Oryzias latipes: one gene and its partners. The protein of the gene in region 1 interacts with the protein of each later gene in a pairwise test. Links are inferred from orthologs where the notes say so. Each region holds a gene or a part of one and is shown on either strand. Other genes may lie near its edges. The genes, in order: tex11, ing3 and snx7.

Evidence for each region.
Region 2: the proteins of tex11 (region 1) and ing3 interact in a two-hybrid assay, tested with the Homo sapiens proteins (2 studies listed by BioGRID). The two-hybrid records come from large-scale screens. The link is inferred for Oryzias latipes from reciprocal best matches to the Homo sapiens genes TEX11 and ING3.
Region 3: the proteins of tex11 (region 1) and snx7 interact in binary tests that used the Homo sapiens proteins (3 or more experiments, as listed by UniProt). The two-hybrid records come from large-scale screens. The link is inferred for Oryzias latipes from reciprocal best matches to the Homo sapiens genes TEX11 and SNX7.

Annotation. Positions count from the first base shown.
Region 1 is NC_019868.2:11,383,164-11,393,854, reverse strand, and holds the start of tex11 (testis-expressed protein 11), read left to right. Parts: upstream 1-3,604; 5' UTR 3,605-3,722; coding exon 3,723-3,765; intron 3,766-4,926; coding exon 4,927-5,039; intron 5,040-5,364; coding exon 5,365-5,449; intron 5,450-5,577; coding exon 5,578-5,657; intron 5,658-5,740; coding exon 5,741-5,821; intron 5,822-5,926; coding exon 5,927-6,046; intron 6,047-6,262; coding exon 6,263-6,343; intron 6,344-6,432; coding exon 6,433-6,518; intron 6,519-6,611; coding exon 6,612-6,669; intron 6,670-6,778; coding exon 6,779-6,874; intron 6,875-6,954; coding exon 6,955-7,036; intron 7,037-7,230; coding exon 7,231-7,309; intron 7,310-7,446; coding exon 7,447-7,598; intron 7,599-7,693; coding exon 7,694-7,779; intron 7,780-7,866; coding exon 7,867-8,004; intron 8,005-9,661; coding exon 9,662-9,764; intron 9,765-9,884; coding exon 9,885-10,009; intron 10,010-10,366; coding exon 10,367-10,455; intron 10,456-10,691. UniProt on the Homo sapiens protein: Regulator of crossing-over during meiosis. Involved in initiation and/or maintenance of chromosome synapsis and formation of crossovers.
Region 2 is NC_019881.2:24,129,163-24,139,853, forward strand, and holds ing3 (inhibitor of growth protein 3), read left to right. Parts: upstream 1-5,254; 5' UTR 5,255-5,346; coding exon 5,347-5,374; exon of another isoform or gene 5,375-5,431; coding exon of another isoform or gene 5,432-5,432; intron 5,433-5,515; coding exon 5,516-5,587; intron 5,588-6,536; coding exon 6,537-6,637; intron 6,638-6,714; coding exon 6,715-6,780; intron 6,781-7,038; coding exon 7,039-7,135; intron 7,136-7,202; coding exon 7,203-7,274; intron 7,275-7,360; coding exon 7,361-7,477; intron 7,478-7,560; coding exon 7,561-7,724; intron 7,725-7,807; coding exon 7,808-7,995; intron 7,996-8,060; coding exon 8,061-8,250; intron 8,251-8,326; coding exon 8,327-8,365; intron 8,366-8,439; coding exon 8,440-8,556; 3' UTR 8,557-8,995; downstream 8,996-10,691. Other genes in the region: uncharacterized protein LOC111946928, read right to left, coding at 1-104, 376-493, 678-1,267; uncharacterized protein LOC111946929, read right to left, coding at 10,517-10,691. UniProt on the Homo sapiens protein: Component of the NuA4 histone acetyltransferase (HAT) complex which is involved in transcriptional activation of select genes principally by acetylation of nucleosomal histones H4 and H2A.
Region 3 is NC_019878.2:926,306-936,766, reverse strand, and holds the end of snx7 (sorting nexin-7), read right to left. Parts: intron 10,245-10,461; coding exon 10,134-10,244; intron 10,057-10,133; coding exon 9,898-10,056; intron 6,322-9,897; coding exon 6,123-6,321; intron 5,119-6,122; coding exon 4,919-5,118; intron 4,385-4,918; coding exon 4,298-4,384; intron 3,298-4,297; coding exon 3,145-3,297; intron 1,869-3,144; coding exon 1,803-1,868; 3' UTR 1,246-1,802; downstream 1-1,245. UniProt on the Homo sapiens protein: Involved in the regulation of endocytosis and in several stages of intracellular trafficking. Together with SNX4, involved in autophagosome assembly by regulating trafficking and recycling of phospholipid scramblase ATG9A.

The DNA of each region.
Region 1 (10,691 bases):
ACTGTCCAGTGGGTCTAGATGACCCAACTCCCAATGTTAAAGTGCCTAGGATAGCTCAAGGGTTACATGTTAAATGTTCAGTCAGCCTTGCAGTCTCTGTTGTTATGAGACATGTACTACTTAATTTTTGCTTGGGATGGGTTCCGAACCGGAACTAACATGTGCCATGTTGCTGCCGGTATCATGTAAAAACATGGTTTGTGGTGATTTGTGGTGGGCTCTAGATGAAAACGAGTGACACTTGATATGTATCGCGATACATATCGTATTGTGAGACACGTATCGTGATATGCATCGTATCGCCATACTCTTCCCAATACACACCCCTACTAAAAAGCATGCATGCAAAAATATTAACATTAGTAAGTATTTCACATTTGCATGAAACACATTCTAAATATAAGATGTATAATATTAGAGGGTCTAAAAAAATGGTTGAACACTATATGCCTTTTATATTGATCACCATTAAAAACCATGAATATTCTTTTAAACTTCTGATAATTTTATGAAACCCTGTCACAATGGTGTAAAAATATTGATGGTTGTGTTTTGAGTCCTGACATGACAATATATGCCTTAAATTTAATTTACTTTTTATTTATTTATCCCACAATGGGGAAATTGAATTGGAAATAAAGTCCCACTCCGAACATCTTTTGATCTATTGTAAAAGCGTTCCCAGGGGTCTTTCAAGTATGATTATGCTGTTTTTAGCCAAAACAAAAAAACTGTTGTTTTCAAAAACATAGTTTCAGTAAAACGGCAGCTCATCAGAAATTTGCCTCTGATTTGTGGGCGGGACTGTTGGCACAGAGCAAGGCCCCCACTTCCTATCGCCCATCTGTTTACGTACCCTCCCGCTAGCATATAGCTCACACCCCCAACCTAACATTACCAGTGCAACAAAAATGGCACGGAATATTGGAGCTATCCAGCCGTACAGTTTTGATTCAGATACCAGCTCACACGCGGAAAAAAAAGACATTAATTTAAATTTTATTTATTCAGCATATTAACCACAGGGCACGCCCATTTATGTTCAAAGTTAGCATATTTATATAGTAAAACATACAATAAAACACATTCAAGTTCTTGTTACTTAAGAAGACAAAAAATGTATATTAGACACAAGAAAAGTCCACCAACATCACATATTTCATTGTATTTAAATTAAGGGATCTTTTTGTCTGCAAATAGATGCATCAGAATGGAGTGGAGCAGGGAGCTTGTTGCCCTCTGATTGTAACTAAGTGACAACTATGAGCTTTTTACAATTACACTTTTTTCGTTTGCTCCTGATTCACAATGATTAAAACAAAGAAATACTCAGAAATGCAGTTTTAAGTTTATTTTCTTTATGTATGTCTTACATCTTGAAAGAAATGCCACAAGAACATGTTAAAAACACCAAAAACAGGTATTTCATCAAAGTGAGTCTTTAAGGTTCTGCTTTTTTGTTTCCTTGTGGATTATTTCATGCTTTATGTTCAATGCTATGTTCTGTTTTTAACTAATTTCACAAAAATCCAGTTTTGTGTTTTAAAAACCCATGTCGGTTCACTTTTTCAGCTTCTATTTCATCACAAAGACGTCCTCCAGTTCTGCCAGGGGAACCCCAAGGTGCTCCCAGGCCAGCCGAGAGACACAGTCTTCAACTCGGTGGGACACGCTCTGAATACCTAGAGAGGCGCCCAGGAGGCAAATGAGTTAACTGAGCCATCTCAACTAGTTTCTCTCAGTGTGGAAGGGAAGTGACTCTACCCCAAGCTCCACACAAGTGACCAAACTCCTCACTTTATCTCCAAAGGAACATCAAGTAAGAAAACTATTTTTAGCTGCTAGTTTTCGAGACGTTTTGCCTTTCGGTCCTGACCTCTGTGTCACATCAGTTTTCAATAACATTCCTTTTCAGTTTTAGTTAATTGAACCTCAGTGTGTTTAAGACCATATTTCTATTTTCTTCCTGCAAGACTTTTTTGTCCTTTTTAAGGCATTAAAAGGTGGATCAGCCAGTGTGCTTCAGATTAAAGTCAAACAGATGGAGAACATTTCTCTTCAGGATTTGTTGGTAGACACTGGAAGCTGTGGTTCCACAGCAAGTCTTCCTGGTTCACCACTGTAACATGTTTGTTTTCTCACGTGCTGTGTTACTTTTACACCAAATGTTGTAGACAAATGTATTTTTTAGAAAAGATTGACTTTAATCTAATCAGTCCTTAGATTATTTACTCAAAGATAGCAGGGTCTTTTGACATCTCTTGAATAAGTTACTGCACTCTTGTGGTAATTTGTTCAACAGGCCACTCTGGAGATGGATCACAACTGTTCTTGTGTTTTCCTTGTTTGAGGAGATTTGCTCTCAATAAAGTGTCAAAGCTTCAGAAATGGCTTAATCATCAATGTTTTTGAGCAAGTGGTCCCAAAGACTGTTTTAATTTTTTCCTGAGTATCTCTGGATTGCAACACAACGGCAAACGTTTGAACCTTCAGTTCATGCTGGTCTTAAACATTATTTTCTTGATTATTTTTTTTGTGTATGGGTGTGTTTGTGTATGAGTTTTTGTCTTTGAGTGGAAAGAAAAAACTATCAAAATAAAAGCCCTTCCATGTTATTTCTTACATTGTATTTATTTTGTTATTTATTTACATTAAACGCTAATTTAAGAATACTTATATATAAAAAATTAATCATCTAGCCAGAATATAAGAAAGCAAATATTACCTACACTATGATGGCTACTTTTTTCTACCTTGTATATCTTACCTGATATTTGCTTTCTTGTAACATAGATTTTATTTATCAATTGAACTAGCACATAACATCAAAAAAGAAAAATAGTAATAATAACATATCCTTTTTTAAACCCTTTTAACATATAGCCTAGTAGTCAATAGGCCTAAATCAGGAGTCTGAATCTGAGGCTCCAAATCCAAATGTGGCTCTTTGTCCCTACATTATGGCTTTTTGGCTTTGAAAAAATTCTAATAATTTGCGTAAATAATGGTTTTGTCGTAGTCAGGATTATTTTGAGTTAATTACGTTTTGTCATTTATTTTTAGATTTTTAAAATGTCAGGTAACTGAGCATCATGACAGTAAAAGGTTTAATCTATTGTGTGTGGTTAAAGAGAAGAAACGCCTAGGAAGTGCATGGAGGAACATTTGTAGAAGTTTATATTTACATTATATAGATTTGTTTTGCCTGGTTTAATATTTGAGAGTAAAAGGAAAAAAAATGAAGGCCCACCAAAATCATAATAATAGAAAATGTTATATTGGATTTATCTTTCTATCTTTTTAAATTTAAGTAAATCTCCTGTAGCAAAGGATCCTATTTGACACAGGGTGTGTTTTATTTTGAAAGGATCTTGTCAAAAGTAAATAAAGTTACAATTAATAAATGCAGAAAAACATAACACTGTTATAGTTAAATTACTGTAAATATTTGAAAACTACATAAATAAATTCTATTTTCTAATTGATAAAGTGAGCTTTTGCGGCTCTAAATGGATTTTGGTCCGCATTTACAGTCAATGGTCACAGAAACTTGCCCAAAAGGCTCTTTTAATGTTAAAGTTTGTCCGCAGACAGGAAGTAGCATTAACTGACCTCACATAGTACGAACTCCGTGGCGTCAACGTCCGCCTCGTTTTCGCGGGCATTTTCGGGCGATTGTAAATTCTCCTTTGGTGAGACATCTCCTCCAGACAATCCCGCTTATGGAAGCTTTCGAAATGGAAGAATTTATTTCGACTGTGAAATGTGAGTATAAGTCGGTTCAACTACATTACACGGCTAATTACAGATACAAACCATAAATAATTGTAACTGCGTCATCAGCAGGGGTAGGGGGTAATCAATGAGTTATATCGCGATATAACTGGGGCTAACCTAGCTAAACCATCTGCTAGGCCATGTACTATTTTGTCAAGCTAGTTTAATGAAATGAATTAAGCACATAAATCCTACCTTAGCTTTAGCCTTTGTCCGAGTGAAAAAAATGTTTGCTTTATTTTTTAAACAAATTAATTATATTTTTTCTTTCTTTAAAACTACCTTAAAAAAACATGCAGACTGCCATAAATAATATTATATAAATGTTGGGTTTATTCAGAGAAAAATCTATACAGAAATCATGAGAGCAATTTTAAAGTTAACGAAGAGAATCTTGAAGCTGTTTTTATGACAGACAGACATGCTTGGTTTTATTTTTGTTGTGGAACAATGGCTGGCAAGACTTTTAGGGTATAAATAAAGTTTATTATTTTGAATTGGTTAACAAAATTATCATTTTACTCTTTAAAACGGGAGCATTATGCCTCAGGGGGCTGGAGGGTCTGTTTCTGTTACCCACACATTTATGCATATATATGTGTGTGTATATAATATATATATATATATATATATATATATATTATTTTTTTTTGCTCAATCCTGGATAAATACGATAAAGAACATTTGGCAGAAATCAATATTTTGGAAATTGTTAAGAAAAAAGGGCAAGTAATTTTTTTCACTGTCCAGCTTGATTTGAAAAAAACAAAAATAGAACAAACTAAAAACAAATGTCTCTAGTTATTAAAAAAAGTGTGATTTGAGGCTTTGCAGCAACAAAAATAACTTAGAAGTGTACATAACAGTTACCATTATGCTTTGACTGTGAACTTCACTCACAGAATTCTTTTTAACACCCACTTTTAAAAGTGTGGAGGGTGTAATTTGCATCAGCTTCATATACAACAACTTGCCGCCTCACAGATCTTAAAAGCATAAGAGAACAAGCATATGCCAGAACCCTTTTCTGCTATGGCAAACTAGAAGTTACTGTCAAGGGGAGCAGTTATTGGATGTGTCACATATATTTATTGAACATCTTTTACTCTTAGTGTGTCTATTCATTTCAAACGTTCTGCTTTTTCACAGGTCTCACAGAAAACTTACAGCAGAAAGATCTAACAGATTGCGATGAGGTTATAGAGAAGCTTTTCTCTGAAGTCTCAGGCTTAGATTCCTTTCTCAAAATACCAGATCCTCAGGTAATTTATCAATCGTTTTAGATTGTACTATTTTTAATATAGTCTATAGTCCTGGACAGATATGTACAGAAGAGGATTAGGGCCATGGAGAAAGAAAAAAAAAAAGGGCATAGAAAATTCTGACTTTAATCTCAGAATTCTGACTTTATATGTTCATGTGGAGCTAAACATTTTTTCCCCCTATCCCAACATATCTTGAACCTGCAACTTCGAAATTATTTTATAGCTTAACTACTTTTTAGTAGTTTTAGTAGTAAAACTGAATGCTTAAGTCTAATAATATAAGTTATTGGCATGTTTTTAGTGTCTTGTTTTACTGGTACAGATTCAGGAGTGTGCCGTCCAGTTGTGGAACTGGGCTGTTACCAAGAATGTGGGAAACGCCATAACTGCAATCCAAAAAGCTAAAGGTATTCTTCCAATTGCAGTCTGTATAGTTTTTAAATGTTTACCTTTCTTGATTTTCTAAAACACAAACCTAATTATGGGGATTACAGGCAAGGTTAATGCCTCATTTAATATTTTTTATCATCATCAGTTCGCCATGTTGCATGCAACCTGCTGTACTGCTTTGAGTCTGACAGTCCAACAGAGGGCGCCTTTCGAAAACAAATCTTGGTAAGTAATTCTGGAGGTTTTCCTTTTTATAGCCTGGCATTTCAGGAGGATAAGGCCTGTGTGTTGATATCTTATCCTTCCAGATGGCCAGCAAAGCAGGGAGAGCCTGGCTGAACTGCAAAAACTTTCAGATGGCAGATCACTTTCTGAGACTTGCCGTCAAGGTGAGAAAGAAACGTTGGATAAAATCTGGAAATGTTTTTAGCTGAAAGGAGAAGGATGGAATTATTTTATTCTTTTACAAATGATCCAACATGGTATATTCCTAGAGCTTGGAAACCCTTTACCGCCAGCTAACGTCCAGAGCCAATGACGAACCTGACATCTTGTCATCCAAGGCAGATGTGGAGAAGGACCTTCTTCGGATCCTGTCGTGCCAGGCTGAGTCGGTGAGCAGTGCTGCATGTGATGTTCAACACCTTAAATGTGAATATTTGTTCTTGTGATATTTTGCAGCTTGGGAGGTGCTGTTCTGACAGACTTGCAGTGTGAAGTGTAAGACAGTAAAATTGTGACTGAGAAACAATGAAGGGGGGGTTCTGAAATAGCTAATTGAGAGAAGTTCATTTCCCTTCATTTAATACACAATCTGATCTTTGTTACAGGCTATCGCTCAAGGGAACAACCAAGAAGCCATAGTGTTCATCGAGCGATGCAAAGACATACTGCTGCGGCTGCCAAATGAAGTAAAACACAGCTACCTTACTGTTCTCTTACATTCAAAGCACATGTTGTTGAAAGTGAGGGGGGTGTTAAGTGTGAGCTTTCATCACAGACGGCGTACCTCTCAGTTGTCTGTTACAACTTTGGAATCGAGGCATACAATCTGACAAAGTTTGAAGACAGTGCATTTTGGCTGAGGTAGTAGATTTATTAATGTGGTTTGATAAAAAGTAATAAAATAAAAAAATCCAGGGTAAAAATGCATCTCTTCCTCCTTGTTTGTTTTTGTAGCCAAAGCTATGACATTGGAAAAGCAAACATGAAATATGGTCCAGGATCAGAAGCTCTGGTAAGACCCCGTAAGACAGAATGAATAGAGTTAGCAGCAGGAATGCTAATCTTTGAGAACAAGTCATTAAAAAGAAAAAGAAAATATTTACAATGTCACTCATAAACAGGCCAAAGTTTTGCGGCTGCTCGCCACGTGTTATTTAGAGTGGGACTGTGAGAAGTTTCAGGAAAAGGCTCTAAATACTGTCAGCTTAGCAAACAAGGTGGGACGTGAGGCAATATTACGTCAAATATTTATTGTAAAAGGATGAAGAGTGATTATTCCTATGGTGGTGTTTGGCAGGAGTGTGTGACCCCGTTTGGACTTTACTTAAAGATCAGAATTCTCCTCAGATGCAGAGCCCCAGACAGCCCTGTCAGAGCAGGTCAGTCATAATCTGACTGCCGTCAGTGATGTGCTACAAAAATAAACACAAATAGAAATAGAATAGAAAGAAATAATGAGTCTGATATTGGTGGTCACAAAGCTTGTACCACTTAGATTGGATGCTTCCTAGTGTGTCATTTGAATCTTTGAGTGACAGACAGATAAGGTTGCATCACAAACCTGTGTTTTCAGGTCTTAATGAGATGCTGGAATCTAAAGTTTCTCTTGACATGTGTCTGAACACAGTGAGACTGCTCATGTCTGAAAACAGGTGAGGAAGTTAAAAACAAAACAGAAAACTGATTGCAGATTTAACTTTATTTGCTTGTTTGAAATAATAATGCATCCTAAACGGATGAGGACATTTATTCTGCACCTCTGAAAATGCATCTTTTGTGATTATTCTAGAGAAGTGCTGGCATTTGAGTATTTGAAAACTGTGTGTCAGCACTTCGAGTCATCTCCTAGTCTGGGAACTGCTCTTGTCTTGCACATTGAGCTGCTGCTGCAAAGAGGCAAGGTGCTGCTGAGCAGACAGAAGATAGAGGATGTCATTACCGGTACTTCACTTCTACCCTTAACGTTTCTTACAGCTTTTTTTAGAGTAGTAATCCATGAAATGTTTGTTTTTTTGATGATTTTCCTTTCTGATCAGGACACTATACCGGTAAACAGCTGGCACCAGAGGCACTCACAAGTCTGCACATCATACTGTGGGATCAGGCATCCAAACACTACGAGGTTCATCAGTAGCCTGGTTTTCCCTCTATCATTTTGACTGTTACTGACTTTAGAAGTCAATTTATTTAATCTTTTTGATTTTTACAGGATGACAATTATTCTGAAGCTCTCCAGTGGTATGACTACTCTCTTAGCTTCTTTAAGGCGGGTCAGATGGACCAGAACTTATCCAAACTGCAGAGGAACAGAGCATCTTGCTTTCTAAAACTGAAGCAGTTGGAAAAGGTGAGACTGTCTGGACAGAAGGAAAAATCTGTGATCAAACCTCTCTCCCGAAGACTCCAGTAGGTGTTGCTTGTCCAAATTCAAATGAACCTTTTCCCTCCATAGCTATTAGTGCAGGTGGCACCGTGGTGCAGTGGTTAGCGCTTTCGCCTCACAGCAATTAGGCCCTGGTTCAAATTCCAACTAGGACCTTTCTGTGTGGAGCTTGCATGCTTTCCCCATGCATGTATGGATTTTCTCCAGACCCTCCAGCTTCCTCCCTCAGGTTAATTGTGCATCACAACTGTGTGGCCCTGCAACAGAACAACAGGATGTACTCCGTCCTCATCCAACAGTAGCCAGGACAGGCTCCAGCATCACCATGACCTCAAAAGACATGAGGATAGATCGCAGGCCAGCAAAGACAAATAACCCAAAAAATAAATATGTATTTCTAAAAAATCCATCAGCCAATCAAAAACTAAGAAGTACGGGACTTGATTGACATGCAGAACGGCCAATCGGACATCCTACGAAATATACGTCACTGCACATGCGTGTTTAAATTAACTGAGCGCAAATTCTGTCTGCCTCATTACCCGCGGCACGTCAACTCCCCTGCAGAAGACCACTCCGGACAACTGGAGTGTTCATTGAAGCCCGGGCCACCCTGTGTCCTCCTGCTATCGGCTCCTCAGTTCCCGCCCGATAAATACGAGCTCAGTAAGGAAGCAGTGTTTTCCGTGGCACGCGCTTCGTACAGAGCCAGCAGCGCCTTTGCAATGCCATGCTCTCCGCATTACATAGTTTACAACAGAGAATGACGTACGATAGTCGCTGCTTTGTGTTTTTGTAATAAAACGCCTCATCTGTTAATACAAAAATTTTTCTGTGTAATCTTAGTGTGGTGTTTTTTATTATCAGTCCATAAACAACAATGTACAAATAAACATGTAACTAACAAACATGTACTAATAGTATATATAGATATAGATAGATCTTCAAGACATTTTTGACTCAAAAGTGGCTGACATGCCAAAAAAGTGAGCACCCTGCTGTAGATTTTGTGTAACCCTTGTGCTATCTTAGATGACCCCCCCCTTACTTTGACGTGTTCTCCCTACCATGACAAAGGTGGATAAAGGTGGAAAGATTTCATGTAATCCATGGACACCAGTGAAGATCACAAATCATTGAAGAAAAAAGGTTCAGAGCACTGTCTAGTGGGTCTAGATGACCCCACTCCCAATGTTAAAGTGCCTAGGATAGCACAAGGGTTACATTGAAGTCAAAAAAATGGCACACAAACCAAAGTGTAGATAAATTATCCTTTGTTTATTTGAAGCAAAGCACTGGAAGAATGTCATCTATATCCTCCAGTAGTGAACAAAGAAAACAAAAAGTTGTCCATTAGATCAAATCAAATTGAACAGTTTGACTTTCACACAGCTTAAATTATATTTGAGCACAAAATAAAACAGTGCCTAGGATAGCACAAGGGTTAAGCAAATAGTGTCATGCATTTTGTGGATTTGGAGATGGTTAACATTCTGAGCTCTCATTCTATTGAAAGGCATTATAGGACAAATATGGTCTGAAAGTCTGTTGAGCCTGTTGTCCATCTACAATCAGGATCACTTGACTGGTGTCAATGTCTTCATTGAAATTTGCTTTTTAGGCTAAAGAAGCAGCCAAAGAGGCAGAAAGAAGTGACCCTGACAGCATATTCACTCAATTCATTGTTTACAAGATAGCTGTGCAAGAGAGCAATGCAGAGAAAGGTACGCTCAGAACTGACTGATGCAATGCATGTCCTGCCGAGTTCTGGATTGATGCCAGCGTTGCAGTTTCACTGCTATTGCATTGTCAATGGGGTTTCTGTGTTTCTGTGTCTTCATCAGCTGCTGAAGCCTTGAGTGCGATGGCGTTGCTGTCCAAGAATCCAGTATTCAGTGAGGACAGACTGCTGGCATCCCAGACTGCAGCTTCTAACCTTCTCAGTTTGGCTGCTCAGATTGCTCTGGAGGTAGAACCCATCACCAAACATCGCTTTTAAAAATGAGCACATTTTCCACACTTGTAGTATTTTGATGATGATATGTTGCCTCATAAGTGCTACTTGCAGCTTGGTCACAGGGAAATTAACACAAATGCAAGTGTTGGCGAGTGGAAAGATGGTGAAACATCTTGTCTTTGTCACTTAGATCATGTTGCATTTCAAGGATAATCTCCTTTAAACCGTCAAAGGCTGAACAGAAACAGAACTGGATTGTTTTGTTTTCTTCTGCACACTTGTCAGAAAACATGGTTGCACATCTATCTGTTCTTCTGCTGCGTGCTTGTAAAGAACTTGTGTGTGGAAGAGAATGTTTGTTCCCTCTAGCAGAATGGACAGCAGGAAACTGCCATCAAAGCGCTGGAGGTTTTGTGTGAAAACTCCAAAGAGGAAGTTCAGGTTCTGATTGCTCTGAGGTTTGTGCCAACAGCAGTGCAACTTCTAAACATCATGTCACATATCATGAATATGTTGTTATTGACATATAAACTCAATGTAAACAAAGCACTTCTGTTCATGTTCTACATGAAATATATATGTATATATATACATATATTATTTTTACAGTGTTTCTTTGCAGTTCTTTGGAATTTATTTAAAGACTCACTACAGAGAAAATTGTGTTTGTGGTATTTTTAATACGTTTTAGTTG
Region 2 (10,691 bases), on another chromosome or scaffold:
GACTGGTGGACTCCATACCGGTCAGCAAGATCACGCTGTTTTGAACCCAGTGCCAGGTAATTGAGAAACATGAACATCTCATCAATGGGCTGCAGGAAACGAGTCTGTTCAAAAGAAAAACAATTTGCGTTATGTTTCTCTCAACTTCTATTAGCCCTGATCTTTGTTAAAGGGATAGTTCACTTCAAAATGAAAATCATATACTCAGTGAATTTCTTTCTTTCTTCAAAATATCTTCCTTTGTGTTCAGCAGAAGAAAGAAATTCATACAGGTTTGAAACAACTTGAGGGTGAGTATATGATGACAGAATTTTAATTTTGAAGTCAACTATCCCTTTAAGTTTTATTGTATGGGCCATGTAAATAACTACTTACTACAGTGGAACTTGGCTCTGTAAAGGTGCCTCTCTGTGCTTGTGTCACACTGACCATATTTGGCAGTGATGGCTCTATTAAGGCCCAGAATCTCATCAGCAGGTCATAGGATGCAAATCTAAATAAATACAATTCAGATATAATCATTTAAATATTATATCAGTGTATACTATGATATTACTTGGAAGCATTTCAAATATACAACTCTGTTAGCCTTCCTCTCTCCCTCTCTCTCTCACACACACACAACTATATCTGTTGTTGCAAAAGTAACGTTACTACAGAACAATCTGATATCTTACCTTGTGAAAAAACGTATGTCCTTGTCTGAGGCAGCAAAACGATGAATTCCAAAGCGCTGATTCATTGTCAGCTTCTCGACGTGTTCCCTCAGCTTGAGAATCTCATCTCTGAGAGACATGTTGTCATCAAGGGCTAAATCAACAACTGCAGGATCTGAAGCCGAAGCGTAGTCGTGGTCCATAGGGATATCAGCTTTCTCGCCTGCGTCGCCGTCATCCTCCGTCATCGGAGGCGGACGCTCTCTCCTCTCCCACACCCCCGGTCGTGAAGTGGGAAGGGTGAAATTGTTCCACTCAAACAGTGCTGGGACAGCTCCCTTGTTTAATAGCCGCCTCCCCGTCTCTGATAAGGGCTCACGAACATCATCCTTGTTAAAATGTCGGCTACATACTCGGGTATGGGGAGTAACTGTGAATTTGTCCCTCCGGATAGCTACAAGCCATTTTCGCCTGATTTCCGCGTCAGATGGAAATGTATGAAAACTAAGTAAACTGTTGTACTTGCTCGAAGCTTGACACAGAGGCACACAGCAATGCTCGGCTGTACTATAGATTGTTCGCTGAAATTTGAACGTTTTCTTACTAGTCATATTGTAGTTGCTGTTATATCGCTTTGTAAACAATCGCCTCAGCGCGAGCGGAAATGGCTTAGCAGGCTGAGATTTTAGCGGAAGTACGTCATAACCTCCGTGTGCATATAGCCTATTAATTTGACTTTAGCATCAGTAGTCTTACTCGACGCAGACGGCTTTGCAGGATGGCTAACGTTAGCAGGTTTGCTAACAGAGCCAACACTCGCTAGCGATTTCTTGAGTTCCATCTTTCTCTTCTCGGCTTTGCTCATATTGCTTTGAGAACTATGCAAAAAGTATAAAGAAATTGGAAAGAAGTAAAAAAAAAATCAAGAAAGGGTCTTTGCTCACCGTGTATTATTACAAAAAACAGTTAGGTTTGCAGAGCTCAGCCAAACACGACTGTTCAGAGCGCCATCTTGGTCACCCCCCCCAGCTAATGTTTTTAGCCTGATAGCCACGTGGAGCGGTCGCCTGTGCTTATCTCAGTAAAAATGCATGGATGCACAATGCACATGGAGAGTGTTAAGAGATCAGGTTTATTTATTTTGAATAGTTCCACATGATAATAATGTTTCATGAGTTCATGAGATCATCCCAGAGAGCCTCTGCTTCAGCTCCTGCAGTCAAACTACGTCTTATATTACGTGTAAATCAGAGAGCCCAGGCAGCGCAAGAGTTTATGTGTGAGCGCAAGTTAAGGGTCTGTTGCCCAGTTCCACGGAAAAGTAGTAAAAAATTGTTTCCTCCAAAGTACAGAACCTGATTCTTGGAGTAAGCCCTGGCTGCAGAATTGCTCAATCTCCGCTGCGTTTTCCAACCACGGTCAGAAACGTCATCGCAGGAAAGGTTCAACATTTCCCCGGGAGGGAAAAATAAAATCAGAGGACCTGATTATAATCATTGTCTCAATGAAAATAGAAACATATCATAAGGTTCAGGAGGGCTGAGCAGGCTTGTCCCGCTTTGCGCAGCTGCCTGGTCTGAGTCTGTCGGTCCGCCAGCTCACCTCCTGCCAGCCGACATCAGGCATGATGTGAGCTCTGAGTGAATGGCGTAAGAATGAGGAGTGTTGCAACGGGGGACTTGTAGACGTGGACGACCGGAGCTCCTCTGTGGTTTGGTCCACACAAACCCTCAAACTACAAAAACAGAGTCTTCCATGTTTGCTGCAGCAGACAGATTGTTTGACTCTATTTGATCTCTAATGTCAGCAAAGCCGTGCAGATATCACTAAAACATGTCATCTCTCTGACTGGCACACCGCTGTGCGGGTATCGAGGAATATGAGTCGATTTCCATGGATCAGCCAATGAGCGTTTAGATCCCGCCCACTTTCACTGACAGACAGACTCATTCTCCTGAAAAAGCTCTTCATTAAATAAATCAGCCATTGTGAAAAACAGCAACATGAATTAAAAACAAAGCTATTTTGGAAAATGTTGATTTTGATATACGAGATTCTGAAAAAAGACAGAATTATAATAATATTCCACATGATTAAAAATGAATATTTGAAAATGCTGTTTTAAAATAATGAACAGGTTTTTAAAGCAAAATGAAATATATTGAATAATACAATGGCTAATTTAAAATCTGTGTGCAGGTTTTTCACCATTTCATGATCTTTTTATATATTTATGAGAGATTTATTGGTTGATTGTGTATTTGCATGAGGTCACATTTATTTATTTAATTAAATATTTATTTATTTAATTATGAACAGTATAGGACTCCGTAGAATGCCGCTTCCTACCACTTGGTGACAGTGAGGTATGCGCCAATGGAGCCTCGGCCAAATAAGTTAATTGGTCAGCCTCGGGCCGGGTCGGGCTTTAATACCCGCGGGTGGGGTCGGGCTGGATTTTTTAAGCCCCATCTTACCTAGTGTGTGTGTGTGTGTGTGTGTGTGTGGGTGTGGGGTGTGTGGGTGTGGGGTGTGTGTTTGGGGGGCACGAGCGTCACTGATTGCTGACGCACCACGTCTCGCGCTGCTGCAGTTTCCCGGGCAAACGCTAGGATATCCGATTGATAGTAAGACGTACTAATGTTCTCTCTGTTAATAACGTTAACTGTATAACGATCTATTTTGGTCAAAAGTTAATGAAAGAGTAACTTAAACATATTATAACAACCCTGAATTAAATCACGACTGCAGGTGGCCTGCGTCCCTCTCGTTCTGTCAGTTGCTGGACTAGAGGTAAGATCGGGACTAATACAGAGTTTAAAAAAGAGCCTTTGGACAGCCGCAAGACCACGTTCTTTCTTGGACTCCAACTTGTCTTGGTGTCTTACCGCAGACTGATGGCACAATGTCCGTTTTATTTGTGTTAAAACTGTCGAAGATTTTTATTTTCTGTCCTCTGACTGGCAGCACAGTGCCGTTGACATTTTAGTCTGGTAATTGTTCTCTGATGCTACTTTTTATAGAATAAATGGGAGATCCTGATTACAAGAGTGAAGAAAGCAGTTGCAGATACATGGAGAAGTTTTTAAAACGAAAAAATGAAGTACAAAGTTATGCCAGTCCCCCTTCAAAGGCGAAATTTATACGAAAATACAACCCTGATTTTATAAAGTTCGGCTTTGTGAACGGAGGCAGTGAGGCAGAGCCCAGTGTGTTGAGTGTGGGCTAACATTATCCAATGAAGCACTAAAACCGTCAAAATTAAAGCACCATCTGGAAACCAAACATCCGAAGCTCATTGGAAAGCCAGTGGATTATTTCAAAAGAAAGGATGATGGGCTTCAGATGCAGAGGGGGTCCATCGTGTCACTGACTGGCGACGCTAAGTGTGCGTTAAAGGCCAGCTACCTCGTAGCCAGACGTGTGGCGCAGAGTAAGAAAGCGTTCACCATAGCGGAGGAACTGGTTCTGCCTGCCGCTGTGGACATGTGCCGTGAGATGATTGGTGAGGCTGCAGCAAAGAAGCTCAAGACCATCCCGCTGTCGAATGACATTGTGAGTCACCATATTGCTGACAGGGCCTCAGACATTGAGCAGCAGCTTCTGGGGAGAATAAGACAGAGCCCCTTTTTCTCTTTGCAGCTGGACCAGTCGACTGACGTCACAAATGCTGCGCTGCTGTTGGTTTTTGTTCGCTACCGGTGGGATAGCTCTTTGCAAGAAGACATTCTGTTTTGTGGAGAATTTCCAACTCGAGCTACAGCTGAGGAATGTTTCCGCTGCATGGATAACTACTTCACTGAGAATGGCCTTGACTGGCAGAACGGTGTTGGAGTGTGCTGTGATGGCGCAGCGTCAATGACTGGCAGGCATCGCGGTGTCATCAAGCAGATACTTGATCTTGCGCCAGAAGCTAAATGGACCCATTGTTTTCTCCACCGTGAAAACCTTGCAGCAAAAAAAATGTCTCCAGAGTTCCATGAGGTGATGGATGTCACTGTGAAAACCATCAACTTCATTCAAAGTAATGCTGTGAACTCCAGATGTTTTGCTCAACTTTGTGAGGGCATGGAAGCAGATCATGTCCAAGGCAAGGCAAGGCAAGTTTATTTGTATAGCACAATTCGTACACAAAGTAATTCAAGGTGCTTCACAAAACAGAAAAATGCATTAAAATCACAATACATCATAGAAATAATCAACATAAAATTTACTTTAAAAGAAAAGGAAGAAAAAAAAAAGATTTAAAAAGAAAGGAAGGAAAGAAAGGTGCAGATAGGCAAAACATAGATCGGTGATTTCCTTATGAAGTGATTTTTGGTTTATAGCAGCGTTTCTGTCCTGATATTTTCATCACAGACAAACAGACCCGTTGCTTAAGGTCTCAGCAGCTAAATAATCTCAGGCCAAGCCCACCTTCTGTTTATAATATTAGCGAAAATCTTAAGTAAAACATCTTTATTTGGTGCAAAGTCCAAAAGTATGCAAGTTAAACTACTATTCCCATGATGCATTTCCTTTAACAACAGGAAAAACCGCGCCCTCATTGTTGAACCAATCCGAAAGCCGCGTACGTCACGCAGGCGCAGTCTGACCTCATTTTTTTTCCAGTGTTTTTGTCAGCGAGGCAGCGCCATATTGGAAGAAGCCGTTTCTGTCCTAAAACGGCCAAAGCGCGAACTTTGCCACCATGCTGTACCTAGAAGATTACCTTGAGAGTGAGTACCGGACCGGGGCGTCGCGGCGGTACCGACTTCGGCCCGTTATGTGTGCACAGTGTGTGTCTATGTGTGGCCGCCGCGTGCATTTCCGTTAGCCTAGCTGCAGCGGATGCTAACGTGTTTTTCCTTTTCCGGCAGTGATCGAGCAGCTTCCCATGGACCTCCGCGATAGGTTCACGGAAATGCGGGAGATGGACCTGCAGGTGCAGAGTACGTATTTCCGCCAACCACCGGGCTCGGCTGGGACATCTGCCGCGGCACGGAGACTCGAACCGCCAGCGAGCGGTTAAAAAAGGCCAGATTACCGGAGCTAACACACCTGACATGTCCGTGAACCCGGTGACACCTCAGTCACGTCAACGGAACTTATCAACCTTTCAGCTCGTTTAATAATTCACTAAGTGAGGTTTTGTAGAGCTGCGTGCGCCACTTTACGCATATGTGGCTGAGATTCTGAAGCCCCTCCCCTTTTTGTCAGGCGGTCATGGTGATCAAAGCACATCCCTTCATTATCCGCCGCCTTTCATGTTGACGTCATGACCGCAGCTGCTGTTCAAACTTTTATCACATCAGTATTTGTTAGTTGAGGCACATTCAGTCACTCATTTATCGTTATCCTGATATCAAGCTGTGATAAATGTAACTTTAAATGTGCTCAAACAATCTTATGGCAGCTTGAAGGATTTAAGGAATCACATAAATCCATTAATGCATTTGACCAACCAGATGGAGCCCTTTGATGTAGGGGGGGGGGGGGGGGCATTCGGAGTGTAATTTAACGTACACTTTAAATTTAATTGAAGCTGTTGCAGTGAAATGGAAATGATCTATTTAGATAGTTTGCTATATGCATCACAACTTATATGGTCATTGCAATATTCATCAGTAATGTTGGAAATGGCGAGTTTTGCTCATCTCGTGCAGCCCTAGTTCAGTTGTAAAGTCCTCCAGGGTCATCTGTGACCCCTAGCTGTTGGAGGGTCAGAGTTAGGTGGACTGACCCCCCCCCCCCCAGTCTCAGATCTGACCTCTGATGCAGTTGCAGGTGGAAGAACTTTGGAGACAGTAAGAGAGTTCTTCTAGGTTCCTGTCTGATCCAGAACCAGCACCAGAAAGCTGATGTCATGTGCTTTAGTTCTTTCCCGCCTCTTTGTTTCAGACGCCACAGACCAGCTGGAGCAGAGGGTCATTGATTTCTTCATCAATGCAAAGAAGAACAAACCTGAGTGGAGAGAGGAGCAAATGGAGGTTATCAAGAAGGTCTGGAATCTGCTGCTGGTTCTGGAGGAACCCGAAGGAACCTGTCAGATCTAGATTCTGTTTCTGGTGTGTTTCAGGATTATTACAAGGCCCTGGAGGACGCAGATGAGAAAGTACAGCTGGCCAATCAGATTTATGATCTGGTGAGTGGAACCGTCTGCCGCTCTGACCGGATGGTCTCTGACCTCCTGCACAGTGACGGTCCAGCTGGGTTTGCCGGATCGCCTGGAGGTTCCACCGTAGCAGGACGGAGTTCCCTGACAGTTTTGTCTGTCCCTAACACCACTGGGGAGGAGCTTTCCTCCCTCATCACCAACAGACGCCCCGCAGCAGCTGGACCGGGTCTACCTGCTGCACCGCGTCCAGAAGCTCATGTGACCTGTTGTCTCCTCTGCCTCCAGGTGGACCGGCACCTGCGGAAACTGGACCAGGAGCTGGCCAAGTTCAAAATGGAGCTGGAGGCAGACAATGCCGGCATCACAGAGATCCTGGAGAGACGTGAGTTCGATTCCAGAGCGACTCGTTGGGGCTGAAAGGCAGAGCGGTGACCTTGTGCTCTTCTCAGGGTCACTGGAGATGGACAGTCCCTCCCAGCCGGTCAACAACCATCACATGCACTCGCACATAACAGCCGAGAGTAAGCTGCTGCACGCCCTCAGCTCCGCCTCGTGATGTCAGGACCTCTGCAGCAGGTTCACGTGTCACCGTGTCCTCTGTCCACAGAGAGGAAGTGCAGCGCCCCCGCCCACCACACGGTGGAGCACATTCCTGAGAAGAAGTTCAAGTCTGAGGCTCTGCTGTCTACACTCACCTCGGATCCGTCCAAGGAGAACACGCCAGGTAGCATCTGCAGATAACAGCCATGCAGCTGGAGGGCGGAGCCTCCACGCAGCTAACTGCCCCCCCCCCCTCCTGCCCCCTAGGTTGCCGCACCAACAGCATGTCTGCATCCACCAACAGCGCCTACAGCCTCAACTCCTCTCAGCCCCTGGCTTCCTACAACCTGAGCGCTCTGCCCGCAGGACCCGGGGCCGGCGCCGGCGCCATCACCTTGGCGGCGGCGCAGGCCGTACAGGCCACAGCCCAGGTCAGAACCCGACCCCCATCCTAAAATCGTGCATGTCGGCCCCGCTGGTGGCGCTCCATCCCCCGTCTGTTCCGTCCCATCAGATGAAGGAAGGCCGCCGGACCTCCAGCCTCAAAGCCAGCTACGAGGCCATCAAGAACAACGACTTCCAGCTGGGCCGAGAGTTCTCCGTGTCCCGGGACGGCTCCTACTCCTCCTCCGCCCTGGCCTCCACCCTCACCCAGACGCTCACTCCCAGCACCACCTCTGACTCCAGAGGTCGGAAGTCAAAGTAAGTTACCCCCGTCCCACCGCAGGTGTCTCGGACCCGTCTGACCTCTAGTCCCTGTTTTCCAGGAGCAACATCAAGTCTTCCAGTCACCAGTCCTCCTCTTCCTCCTCCTCCTCCCTGTCCTCCTGCTCCTCCTCCTCGGCACTGGCTCAGGAGCTCTCTCAGCAGGCGTCGGCGCTGCCGGAAGCTGAGGCTAACAGCCAAGTGGACTGGACCTACGACCCCAACGAGCCCCGGTACTGCATCTGCAACCAGGTATGCCCGCTACCGCGCTGTGAGGTCACTTCCTGTAGGTTCCGCTGTTAACTGCTTCCTGTTGGATCTCGTCCAGGTGTCTTATGGGGAGATGGTTGGCTGTGACAACACAGATGTGAGTATGAGCTTTGGTGAGGTTCTGGAACCTGGTTGAAAGGCGGTTCTGAAGGATGTCCTCTTCCTCCTCAGTGTCCCATCGAGTGGTTCCACTATGGCTGTGTGGGCCTGACCGAGGCGCCCAAAGGGAAGTGGTACTGTCCACAGTGCACGGCCGCCATGAAGAGGAGGGGCAGCCGCCACAAATAGACACAGGAGATTAGCGGACTGCAGCAGAACCGGTCCTGAGGTTCTATCAGAGCTTGAAGCAGATGATCTATTTGATCTGAACTGTTCTTGCTTTCATCAAGCCGTCTGACCTTTGTGTGGAGGTCAGGGACGAGAGAACCCATCCGGTCCTCAGCTGTTCAGGTTCCGTTCTGGAAGCTGGTTCTCCAGATCTGCTCTGGTGTACAAATCAAACAAAAATGACCCGACTGGGTTTCCTCCACACTGCAGGAAACAGACAGGTTTCCCATCATGCTGCGTTCCTCTGCCGAATCGACATGGCAGGGGGGTGGAGCCTCAGCTGGGTGGGGGTGTGGCGCTGCAGTTTGTGCTCCTCCTGCACAGGTGGAGGATGTAAATGTGCACATGTGAGTTAGCGTGTTTGCAGTCGGTCCAATAAAGAGGAAGTTTGAAACGGTCAGTCTGTTTGACAGAAGGTTCTCATGTGAGTGACGGACATCTGGAGAACACCACGTCTGGAGAACACCAGGGGCCTCATTTATAAAACTTTGCGTAGGATTTGCGTCAGAAGTGGCGTACGGATGAAACATAGGACGTGCGTACGCACAGAAATATTGGGATTTATAAAACCGTGCGCACACACATCCTACGCATCTTTCCCTTAATAAATCACAACCAATTCTAAATGCAGCGCAGCTTTTGCGGCTTCATGACACGCCCATAGTTGCCCATAAATAGTCCGTGAAACGCCCACAAATTAATATTCATTGATTGCGGAACCATGGCAAACACAGAGAGGAAATGAAAAAAACGTAATTTCACTCAATGTGAAGTAGAAGTTATCGTTGGCGAGGTGGAAAAGAGGAGAAAAGTGTTGTTTGGAGGGCACAGTGTGGGCATTACTAATGCCAAAAAGCCACGTGAGCGGCAGACGGCGGCAGACGCCGTAAATGCTGTAGCCTCACAACCTCGGACCATTGTTAAATAAAAAAGAAATGGTCGGACATCAAAGTCGAGGCTTATAAACTTCTAGCGCTCCATCGGGAGGAGGGCACCGGAGCGCCAGATGCACCGGGTGACACGCGTAGTTCCTCCGAGTGCTCCTCTGCCCAAAAGCCCGCAGAGGTCCAAGAGGACGGCTGGAGGAAGTGGGAACCGGCTCATAAGCCACTCGTCCTCGTTTGCCAGCAAGTCTTCTTGTCTAAAGATGCGTTCACTCCGAATTCTTCCATTTGCCACATCTTCTAAGAGCGCCAGATCAGCCATTGTGCGTCATTACGCATTGTGATGGGGCATTTTATTTCCCTCTATTTAATTACATCTGACAAGCTACAGATGTCGGTAATAATCCACGTGGAAATGGGAAATTGATCAGCACAAATGTAATTTCTTGTTGCTTTCTGAATGGTTGAGACATACGCCATACATTGTTTTATCAAAAATAAAACAAACTAAAGGCATATGCATGAATACCATAATTCTGTAGCTTATGAAGAAATGTTTTACTATGAAAACAACTTTCCCCAGTGGAAAATTAGTGCATCTCTCTCTATCTATCCATCTGTCTGTCTGTCTGCACCTATATCTGCTCCTCCAGACAGACACATTGACGAGAATATCAGTTTTGTACATTATTTCGTTCTGTTAACTATATTATTTATGAGGATGAATTGCACAACATGCCAATATTGCAGAAAATATTTCACTTTTCTTTTTGGAAATAAGTGTTCATTTGAATTTCTGTTGTAATTTTCGTTTGATTTGTTTTGTTTGTTTCACTGCTGATCGATCAAACGGGTGTTGGTGTAGCTGTTAATTGTCAGACTTGCTTTGTGAAGTCTTCATGTTATTTCTGAGAGGCAGTATTGTCATTTTCATTTTCACGTGTTTCTTCCATCTGCCGACGGTGTCGCCGTTTCTCATTTCACCCGTTTTTGTGCGTACGCCTGGGTCAGAGCGTGAAGGACCGCACATTTTCCCCTCAAGTTTGCTTTTTATAAATCTCAACTATTGCGTAGAGAGTGGCGTACGCCTTCTTTTGTGCGTACGCAACCTTTAGAAATGAGGCCCCACGTCTGGAGAACACCACGTCTGGAGAACACCACGTCTGGAGAACATCGCGTCTGGAGAACATCACACCTGGAGAACACCGCTTC
Region 3 (10,461 bases), on another chromosome or scaffold:
TTTGAAGGACCAAAAGTCACAGTCTCAAAAGCTGAAAGAGCTGAACATTTGAATAGTTGAATGGTTCAAATAGATGAAACATTGTAGACGGAGATAAGCAGCAAAAAATGGTGGAAGATACTAGAATAAAGAAAGACAAACAGTAAAACAGTGGGTTGAGGGATGTATAGCATTGAACCAATAAGGCGTATTTTATGACGATAGAAAGACAGAAACAGTGAAGCGCATGCGTCAGCGACAGCTCAGTGTGTGTGTGGTGACAGTCAGTACCTCACCTGCCATTTCTCTTGGATTTGAACAGGAAATTCATAAATTCACTACTTTTTTACCAAAGAAATGTTGACAAAAAACAGAAAAGTAATTATAGAATATACATGTCTAAAAAATATCATTTGATTTTTTTTTATCATAAAAATATGTATATTTATTTGATTTCTGTTTTTTATTAAGCTGCATTTTGCAGGTGAGGCACAGCCACACCTGCCTCCCTGACTGCAGGTCGCTGGTGTGACACCTTTGGCCTTGAAGGCAGCACCAGTTCTTCTAAGCCAACTTCTAGCTGGGAAGTTGTTCACCTTCCAGCAAGACAAACACCCAAAGCACACCACTAACATAAGGAGTGGCTTCAGAACCACTCTGCTGCTCCAGACTGGGCCCAGCCAGACCACTGTCCTAAACCCAAATGAGGACAGACCTGAAAAAGCTGTGCACCAACGTTGCACAGCTTTTTTTTTTTTTTTTGCTGCTGCAGCGTGCTCCTCTTCCTCCCCCTCCTCATCTGTGCAGGAAGTGTTTGTTCCCCTCCCCCCCGTTCATCAGCCTCCCCCCTCATGTATTCCCCTCTGAAACGGGCTGTGAAGACCTACTTTTCTAGCCTGGCTTTATTTAAAGCAGCTTGTTAATATTGAATGTGATTACATGTGTGGAGAAGCTGCCTGGGGGGGGGCATTCTGGGTACAGGTCTCCAAACCAAAGGTGGGGTGGAGGCCCCCCCCTCTGAGCGGTGGGACAGAGCTGCAGGTGGTTTGTCAGAACCATCAGACTTCCAGCAGCAGCAGAGGAATGATGGGAGCCAGCGGCTGCATTTCTGCAGGTTTTCACCTTTCCTGAGCCGTTTCTTCAACTTGAACGTTTCCCTGAATTCTGCCTCTTCTTCCCTGCAGACGGTGAAGGTCCGTGCTCCAGAACAGGTTCAGAGTCTCCAGAGGATTTCTGCTGAATGCATGACCACACGTACAAGGAAACACATCTCTGCTCTGTGCTTTTTATTTATTTACTCAACAAAAAAATCTCAAAGATCTTCCAAGAGTGAAAGCAGACTGTAAAGAACGAGGGGGGGGGGGGGGGGTCAGCCCGGTTTCATAGAAGTCCCTTTGGAAGCTGAACAGCAGCATCTGCCTCACGTCAGAGGATGTGATGAAGGAGGACATTAGAAGCAGAGCCTGGTGTCTCACACCAGACGAAGACGATCTGGAAAGTTTGCAGGGTGACAGAAGAATGAAGAATGAGCACAAATCCAAGAGAAAAGGTCCAAACAGAGGCGTCTTTGGTTCTGCCAGTCACTCCTAAAGCTGGTTCTGTCAAGGTCCATCATGAACTACTTGAGATTCCTGCATCCTTTTCAGGCTGAACGTTGGAGGCTGAGACAGAGAAACAGCAGCAGGCGGGGGTCTGACCCATGGGGGAGGGCTGGAGGTGTCTGGAATGATCAGAGTGGACCCAACTCTTTGAATGAAGGAGTTGGACAACGGTCAGCGGTCCTGAGGACAGACGGAGGTCCTCACAGGTCCAGCAGCATCTCCTCAGTCCCTCTGACTGATGGACTCCCCCCTCTGAGACACCAGGAAGGACTCCCACACCGCCAGGCACTGAAACAGAGGAAGAGTCATTAGTGGAGGAAGGACTGAAACTGTCCAACCAAACTGGTGTCTCTGATAGTTGAGGGCAGAAGATCCCACTCTGACTGACAACCATCACCTGAATCCAGGTTCAGCACCACCAGCAATGTGACCTGCTGCATGTCAAAGGTCAGATCAGAGCAGACCCACAGACTGCTGGTGGTAGGTCCCCCCCCCCCCCCCCCCGAGGGACCCGTGCCCCCCCAGAGGGACCTGCCTCATGTCTTCATCTCCCCTCATTATCTGAGGAGCTGCAGACTTGACCAAGCAGATCCACATTCACTGCAGGAAGCAGTGATCTGGAGGAGGCAGCCACACCGTGCGAAAGGCCCCCCCTCCCTGCACGTCCATGAAAGGCTGTGGACTGGGGGGGTTGAGGCAGCTGAGGCAGAGCGAGCTCTGGAAGGAAGGGCGGGAAGACAGATCCGAGCAGGAGCGCTCAGACCCGGTTCCATCCTTCCAGTCCGGTGGCTGTGACCCATGTGGACCTAATCTGAAGCAGAACCTCCATCTGCACCGGATCAGAAGCCATGACGTCTGCTTGACATCAGATCGCCCCTGTTCATCCCTTCAGGGTCGCCATAGCCAATCAGATTTTCACGGGGGGTTTGGCAGAGATTCTTACGCCAGATGCCCTTCCTGACACAAAGCTGGATTTTCAGGGCACAGGAAGACCCGGACAGGGTCCCACTGCAACAGTATTCTAACACCTTTGTCAGAAAATGTAGACAAATAAACATCCAGTTACTTTTCAGCCTGACAGATTCGTTTCAGGTCACCTAAACCTTGGAGGTTTCCTAAAAGTTCCTGTTCCAGGTACCACTTTCTGCATCCTGTGGTTCTCACAGCTGTTGTACTGCTGCCCCCTGCTGGATGAAACCTGCAGACTCATTTCAACAGCAGGACCATGCAACCGGGATTCTGTGGTCTTCTATCCAGCATAGCGTGGCTTTCACCGTTTTGTGTTACATCTGCTAGAATTAGAATTGAAAGATTTGATCTCCCGGGGCTCTTTTAAAAAACTTTTAAAGGAACGTGAGACAAAGCTTTCAAACTGTAAATGCTTTATTTAAAACTGTCTTTTATGATTGAGTGTGAGTGTATATAAGGGTTGTGTGTTATTGTTGTGCTGCTGCCTCTTGGCCAGGACGCTCTTGCAAAAGAGATTTTTAATCTCAATGAGTGTTTTTATCCTGGTTAAATAAAGGTGAAAGAAAAAGAAAAAAGGAAGCCTTCATCAAGTCACCTTCTCGTAATACTCCACGTTCTTCTCTGCAGTAGAGGTGAAGGCCGCCTTCAGGTCCGTTCTCATGGCGTTCCTCCAGCGGCTCCAGTCCACATGTAAGGCGCTGTTGGACTTGTCCATGCGGTCTGCCAGCTCATCCACCTCGTCCTGCAGCTGGAAGCAGAGCAGACTTCCTGAGCGCACAGCCCCCTCCAAAACAAGTCTTCATGCATCCCTGCTCTGTTCCTGCCATCATCGTCCCTTTCTCTGGCTGTCAATCAAACACGAGGAGGTGCTTTGAGGATGAGGAGATTTCAGGAAGCAGAAAGACTGGGCTCCGAGTCTCTGCAACCTTAACAGTCAAAGAGCCGTTTGGATCAGTTTCCCACAGAAATGAGAACAAAAAAACTCAAAAAAAACGGCGTTTCCAGTGGACGCCATCATTTCCCTGGTTTGTAAAGTTTTCACTCGTTCTTCTCTTCTCATTCAACACGTACTGTCTGCAAAGACGGTCCTGGTCGGTTTGATGCCCTGGACGAAAATATCATTTACTTTATTATTAAACATAAGTAAAACAGACTTGTTTAGTTGAATTGACAATAAGGATATAGTGTGTAGTCATTTCACACGTGACGCATCAGATGGTGTTTTCTTTTTGAAGGCTGACTGGTTCTGGTAAAAATTGCCACATATTTCTGTTAATCTTTACTCCTCCAACAGTAAATTTGGGCGTATTTGGACCCCGCCTCCATTCCTTCATCCTTGGAGTGTTTGGTGTCGACTCGCAGTGTGGCGGGGGGCGTGGCATCACCATGGTGTCTCTCCATCGTGAGGTCAGTCACCCATCACGATGGAAGATGGTATCGTCCATCGGCACAACCCTAGCTAAAGAACAAACTGCTGCCCCCATGTGGGGGAGGAGCTAAAGCTAAGTGCACAGAAAGTCTGAATCTGATACAGTCTCTCCACAGGGAAAAACCCCTCAAACAGACAAAAACAAGAAACCTTTGGGGTCACGCTGAGGACTTTCCCCTCGTCTCTGAAGAATCTTTGAAAAACCCACAGCGCCACCTTCAGGGCGACACTGCCGGATTGTAGCCCCCCATCGATGGAGCCCCCTGCTTCACCTCACCAGCAGACGAGAGCTACACGAAGGAGACAAGGTCACACTTACCGCATCCAGATCACTTCTTCTGGACGCCAAGGCGTCGCTCTTCGCTTCAAACTCAGCCTGAATGTTGTCCCTCCTCCTCATCACGGCCTGAGCAAACACACAACAGTCGTTAAAACACGTCCCACATCCTGTCACACGTTTCTCTGTGTGAGACCCTGATCCACTCAAACCTTCTTTAAAACACTTTCCAGTGATTTTCCATTCTTTACTGACTAAATACAATAATAAATGATAAATAATTAATAAATTATCAAGTTAAGTTTTGATGGGGAAAAAAGTGTTTGGAATCAAAAGCACCAACTGCTGGTTCTATTCTAAGGCCAGCTCAGTGGCCTTGTGGTAGAGTGTCCGGCCTGTGACCGGAAGGTCAATGTTCAAATCCAGGCCAAAGACTCTAAAAATGGGATGCAATGCCTCCCTGGACACTCAGCATTAAGGGGTTGGATTGGGGGGGTTAATCCACCAAATGCTTCCTGAGCGCGGCTGTGTCTGTAGCTCACTGCTCCCCCAGGGGAGGGATCAAATGTGTGACAGCTAATGGTACTTTAACTATTCAAAACCTTAGAATTTACAGCCAGAAGTGTGTTTCTGCAGGGAATGCTGGGATGCGCGGCGGTGCACCTTCAGGGTTTCTGCACACAGGACGTATTCGTGCAGCGCTGGGACCAGGACCTCAGACAAGTGCTGGATCCGCTCCTCTGTTTCCTTACAGCACCGCTCCGCGCAGCTGGCCACGCCCTTCAGCGGCTCAGACAGGTTTTCCTCCGACCCCGCCCACTGGGCGTAGGTGGAGCTGTACTGCCTCAACTCATCCAGGTACTCTGGAAAACAAAACTCTTTAGAGGCGGACTGGAAGGCGGGATCGGTTCATTGGATTGGCCCTGACCCCCAAAGTGATCACTGCTGGAAAGTTCCACTCATTTCTGATCCAAGCCTCCTCTTGTGAGGCTGCAGCCACAAGCTTAGCTTCTGCCTGAAGGTTCGGACACACAGAACACAGTCTTTGACGGAGCCCACAACAAGCCAGAGTCATCTTTTCCACAGGAGGGGCTTTGGTTTCTGCTGCTTCTCTGTTCCACCCAGCAGGAAACACTGCAGCTGACCCACTTCAGAGCGGAAGAAGTCAGCCGATGTCCACCAGGAAATAATTGGTTGTAGCAGTTTTTATGTGAAAGACGAGTCTGGACACAGATAGGGGTGTGACGATGACCTCATCACCGCACGCTTTTCTTTTTAAAGTTCTGCATTTGGTGCGTGATTGGAACTATAAACACATTAAACACAGTCATCTTTGCTGATAGTTTCCTTTTTCTGATAGTCCCGTGCTCAAACTTCAAGGGTTTCTGGGGGAAACCTTTTATTACTGTTCTCCTTCACCTTCACCTTCCTCATGCGCTGCGTGCGCTCCCTCTTCTCCCTCTACTCACACACACGCGGGGTTTCAGCAGCACACACGCATCCTCATTCTACAACAGAAGTTTCTGTCTCGCGGGGAAATACGACAAATTTACTGCGTTCTAATGATTCATTTCTATTACAAGCTGTGTGCGTTCTTGAGTGCGCCGCCCGTTAACCACGCCCCATGCTGGATCATCACCGCGGTGATCAAAAGTCCCACACCGTCACAGCTCTAGACACATTAGTTTCTGTTGCCACGCACGGATTCACAGCTACCAAGGTAAAGAGGATGTTTTCACGTTAGTCTTGTCTTTCCAGGACAGCTGCTGCTTGAAGAACAAAGCCGTTAAAACCAATTCTCTGAAGATCTTCCTCATCCTTCAGACAAAACAACTGAAAACCCCAGAAATGGCTAGTCCTAACAAACCTCTCTGTTCCTTGATGATCCTTTGGGTGACTTTGTCCACAGAGGAGATCTTGCTGCTGAAGTTCTCCACGTAGTCCTGCAGGACCTCGAACTCCTCCGGTCTGTCCTTCACGCCGCGGACAGAGTTGGCCACGGCCCTCATCGTCTCCCCCATCCTGCTGAGGAAACCTGAACCCTGCTTCTTGTGTGGCGCCAGGTCCTGCAGGATCACAGCAGCAAAGCTCTTCATGTTGATTTTTGATTTGATTTGAAATGGTTTATTTCAAGCAATTAAGTACAATAATACACAACAGCAATATAATCATCAGTCATACATTCATACAGTAACTAATCAAACTTAGGATAATTAGACATATTAATAAATATTGCTTGAAAGGGAGTGGAAGGAAGCAAACTTATATAATCCCACCCCGTTATACTATAACCATTTTATTACATGATTTATCAATATCCGGTTCCTAGTTTTTATCAGACAGAATTAAAAATCATAAGATATCGATAAAGCACATGACAAAGATGAATTACTTAAGTATTACGTCAGTAATAACTATTTTAGAAATCAACAAATGCAGATCAGTCATCTGAAATATATGCAGATTATGTTACTTATAAAAGTCATTCATATGAATAAAACGTAATACTATATCAGTAAAGTAGACACAACACTGTTTCAGGAATTTTCATAGCAAAATTTCATCAAGTATCAAAAGTTAAAAACATGTGCAAAGTTATGCTACATTAGTAAAGATTTTTGAATCAATTTATCAATTTTTGGAGAAAGTGAAGTAATATCATTAAAAGTCAATCAATTTAACAATTTTCAATAAGTGATTAATCATTTGTTTTACTTTTTTTAATATTTTTTTTGTATTTTTATTATTATTTTTTTTTATATAATAAAGTAATGCTGTAAGGGGAAAGTAAAAAGGGTCTATAACTGTCGATTGTCCAAGGTTGTTAGATTGTTAGAGCTGGAGCTGAGCAAAAACCCGGTTTTCATTCCCTAACTTAAGAAGAACCCGTTCACAGCTCCAGAAGGTTAAGGTGAACCGCTGAGAAGGTTAACAGTGTGTGAAAGCACTGTGCACCGTGTCTACATGGATGTGGAAGTTCTTCATGTTTAATGCGTGATCGCCGCTCACAACAGAAGATCTGCTGCTGAACGTTCATGACTTTGACACACATTCATGCTTGAGGAATCTAGATTTGAGCGGCAGATACAAGTCAAAAACAGCATTAATGGAGAAGAGTTTGGAAGCCCGGGACAGTGAAGGGAAGAACAGCTGAGGACTGTTCCCAGGACACTTCACACACAGATCTGTACTCTGCCAGATGAAAAGATGGAGTAATGGGCAGCTTTAACAGCAGCAAACATGAACTGGCACTCCATCCACTCAGAACAGCAGCAGACCTGCATGGAAGCATGTTTTATGTCAATACTAAGAGGGGATAAGGCAGGGCTCCAGACTGCGACCAAATGGTCGCATTTTGCAACCAAAATTTGAGAGTGTGCGACTGAATTTTACATCCAGTCGCACATGTGCGACCAGTAAATTTGCCTCCCCCAGCCTCCGTATTTTTTTTCATTAAACATGGAAGGGGCACGTCAATGATCAATGAAATAATCAATGAGACACGAGCGCACACGCACGCAACCACACAAACTCGCACACATACTCATGAGACGCGAGCGCACACACTCGCAAACGCACAAACTCGCATACATACTCATGAAACACGAGCGCACACACACGCAACCACACAAACTCGCACACATCCTCAAGAGACGCGAGCGCACACACACGCACGCAAACGCACAAACTCGCATACATACTCATGAGACGCGAGCGCACACTCGCGTGATGCCTCTCTGTGAGGCGGCCACTGCGTGTGAGAAGAATAGGGAAAGTCACTGTAAGTGGCTAAATGCGTGGAGGGGGCGGGGCCTAGAGATAATCGAGCGCGCGTTGGAAGGAAACGGAGATAAAAATCATCACAACCTGCTATGTGCGTCTGAGCTATGAGTAAGTGAACTATTGATTCGTTCTTCCGACCTGCAGCCAGTGTACCAGTGCCAGAGTGTACAGCAGGGGTCTCAAACTCGTGAACCAAACCACGGTTCTCATGCACGGCTGTCACTGCAGCACACCGCTTCCACGGGAGTCGGGTCAGCTGAGGAGAATACATGCCCCACACCTACATGCGTGACAACTAACGGGGCTTGAACTTTAAACACGTGTGAGCGACAACACGATTTAGTCTTAGTCACATTTAAAACACGTGGGGAAAATGCAACGATAGACGTGTTTAAGATGAGCCAGCGCTGCGTCTGGATTGTTGGGGAGACCAAGGCGGGGGGGGGGGGGGGGTGGGGTGAAGGCGAAGCTGCAGCGAGACTTAAGGAAAACAGGAAGTTGTTGTCCTTAAAATTCAATTTAGTTTTAATATGCCTCTTCCCCTTAGTATGATCTGTGATTTTATATCTTTTATAATTATTTTATTTTTTTGTAATGTATGTAGCCAATTTTTAATCAGTTGGCATATTAATTTATTTTAATTGATCAATGAACTACAAAAGCCCATCAGGACACATGTCCCATAATGCATTGTTTTGTAGTCATCACGGCAACTTTCAGTCAGTTCAGTACTAAATTTCCAGCTGTGTTCGCGTAGGTTGGCGCTTTGCTCCCGCCCCTTTCTAGTGATATTTTTTGGTTTTGATTGACAGGTGATGTTGGAGCAAAAACAAAAATGTATGTCTCACACCAGGTGATCTGTGCAGCGTTGAGTCCACCTGGGTGATCTCGAACACGCTTATTGTGCATCTTGGCTGCACCTATTTGGTATCACCAAGATGAATTTCCATCTCCTAATGTTTACATACATTTAAGTATTGTTTGAAACTGTGAAATGACCGAAAGGTTACTACGGTAATCACTTTGTTACTAAAAACTTTTTTTATTATTCTAAATGTATGGTATTTTGTTTACTATTTGTACTGTCATGACAGTGATCCTTTTGTCAGTTTACCTCGTTGTTGCATCTTCAAAAGTGCAGAATAAAATGTGACACTGAATTAGAAACAGCACATTGTAATTTCTGCATCTATTATTAAAGTATTTATTAGTAATACAGTGGAAATTAGTAGATTTGGTTAGCATGTTGATTTATGGTATGCGCCCCTAAATTTTCTGGTTGTGCCCCTAAAATTTTCAGTTGGGGGCCACAGTGCTCCTAGTGAAAAAAGTTAGTCTGGAGCCCTGTAAGGTCAGACTGATCATGGAGTTCCTGCCTCCTCATCCACACAGCTGGAGGAGATTCGGTTCCTCCCCTCACAGGAGCGTAGCTTCTGGCTCTGGAGGAGTTACTAGAATGTAAAGTAGACCAGCTGATGTACAGGGGTTGAGCGGCCAACCTGCCTGCCCTTGCGTCTAAGTGTCCTTGGGCAAGACACTGAACCCCACATTGCTCCCTGTAGTCATAGGTTGGCGCCGGTGTTCGGCAGTGGCGCCGCGCCTTCAGTGTGTGAATGGGACAGTGACTATAAAGCACTTTGGGCTTTCTAAGAAGGTAGAAAAGCGGAAAAGCGCCATACAAGTGTACGTCATTCAGATCTGCAAAAGAATGTCTGAGTTAATAACACTTAGCATCAGGATAAAGCAAAGCAGCAGACAAAGACTTGCTTTGGTTTGTTAGTTGCAGCTCAAACTGCAAAGACTTTTGGGCCCAACGAGGACAGAATCAGAACCCTTCAATCAACAGGATGACGGGTTACCTGTGCAGTGAGGAAGACTTTGAAGTGCTGGCTGTGAGACAGGACAGGATGCTCTGAAATCCTGCTGAGAAAGCGCTGCAGAGCTTTTCTCCGGGTCTCAATGAAGTCGTCGTTGAAGCGCTCCACCATGCCTTTCATCACAAACTTCTCTGGGAGGGGCTGCAGGACATCAGCCCTCTGTCACACCCGAATACCCTCAGACACACCCTTCTCCCCCCGCTCAGAGTCATACATACGTGGACGATGAGGGTGGGGTGACTCTCTTCCAGCTTGCTCCGCAGCCACAGGAAGTCCTGGTAGCGTCGGCGGACCTCAAACTCACTGGAGTCAAAGTCGCTCCGTGTGGTCTGAGAAAACAACGAATGGTTCTTGCATGAGAGCGCGGCACACGCTTCCCCACACGCCCTGACGGCCGGAGGAAGCGCTACAGGACGTCCTTCCATCTTTGTTCAGACAAGCTGCTACATCAATGAAAACATCTGAACAGGTGGAGTCTGTGCTCATTACAAACTCCATTTACTCCCTCCAGACTGAGCACAAGCCCACGGGGAGAAAACTTTTCAT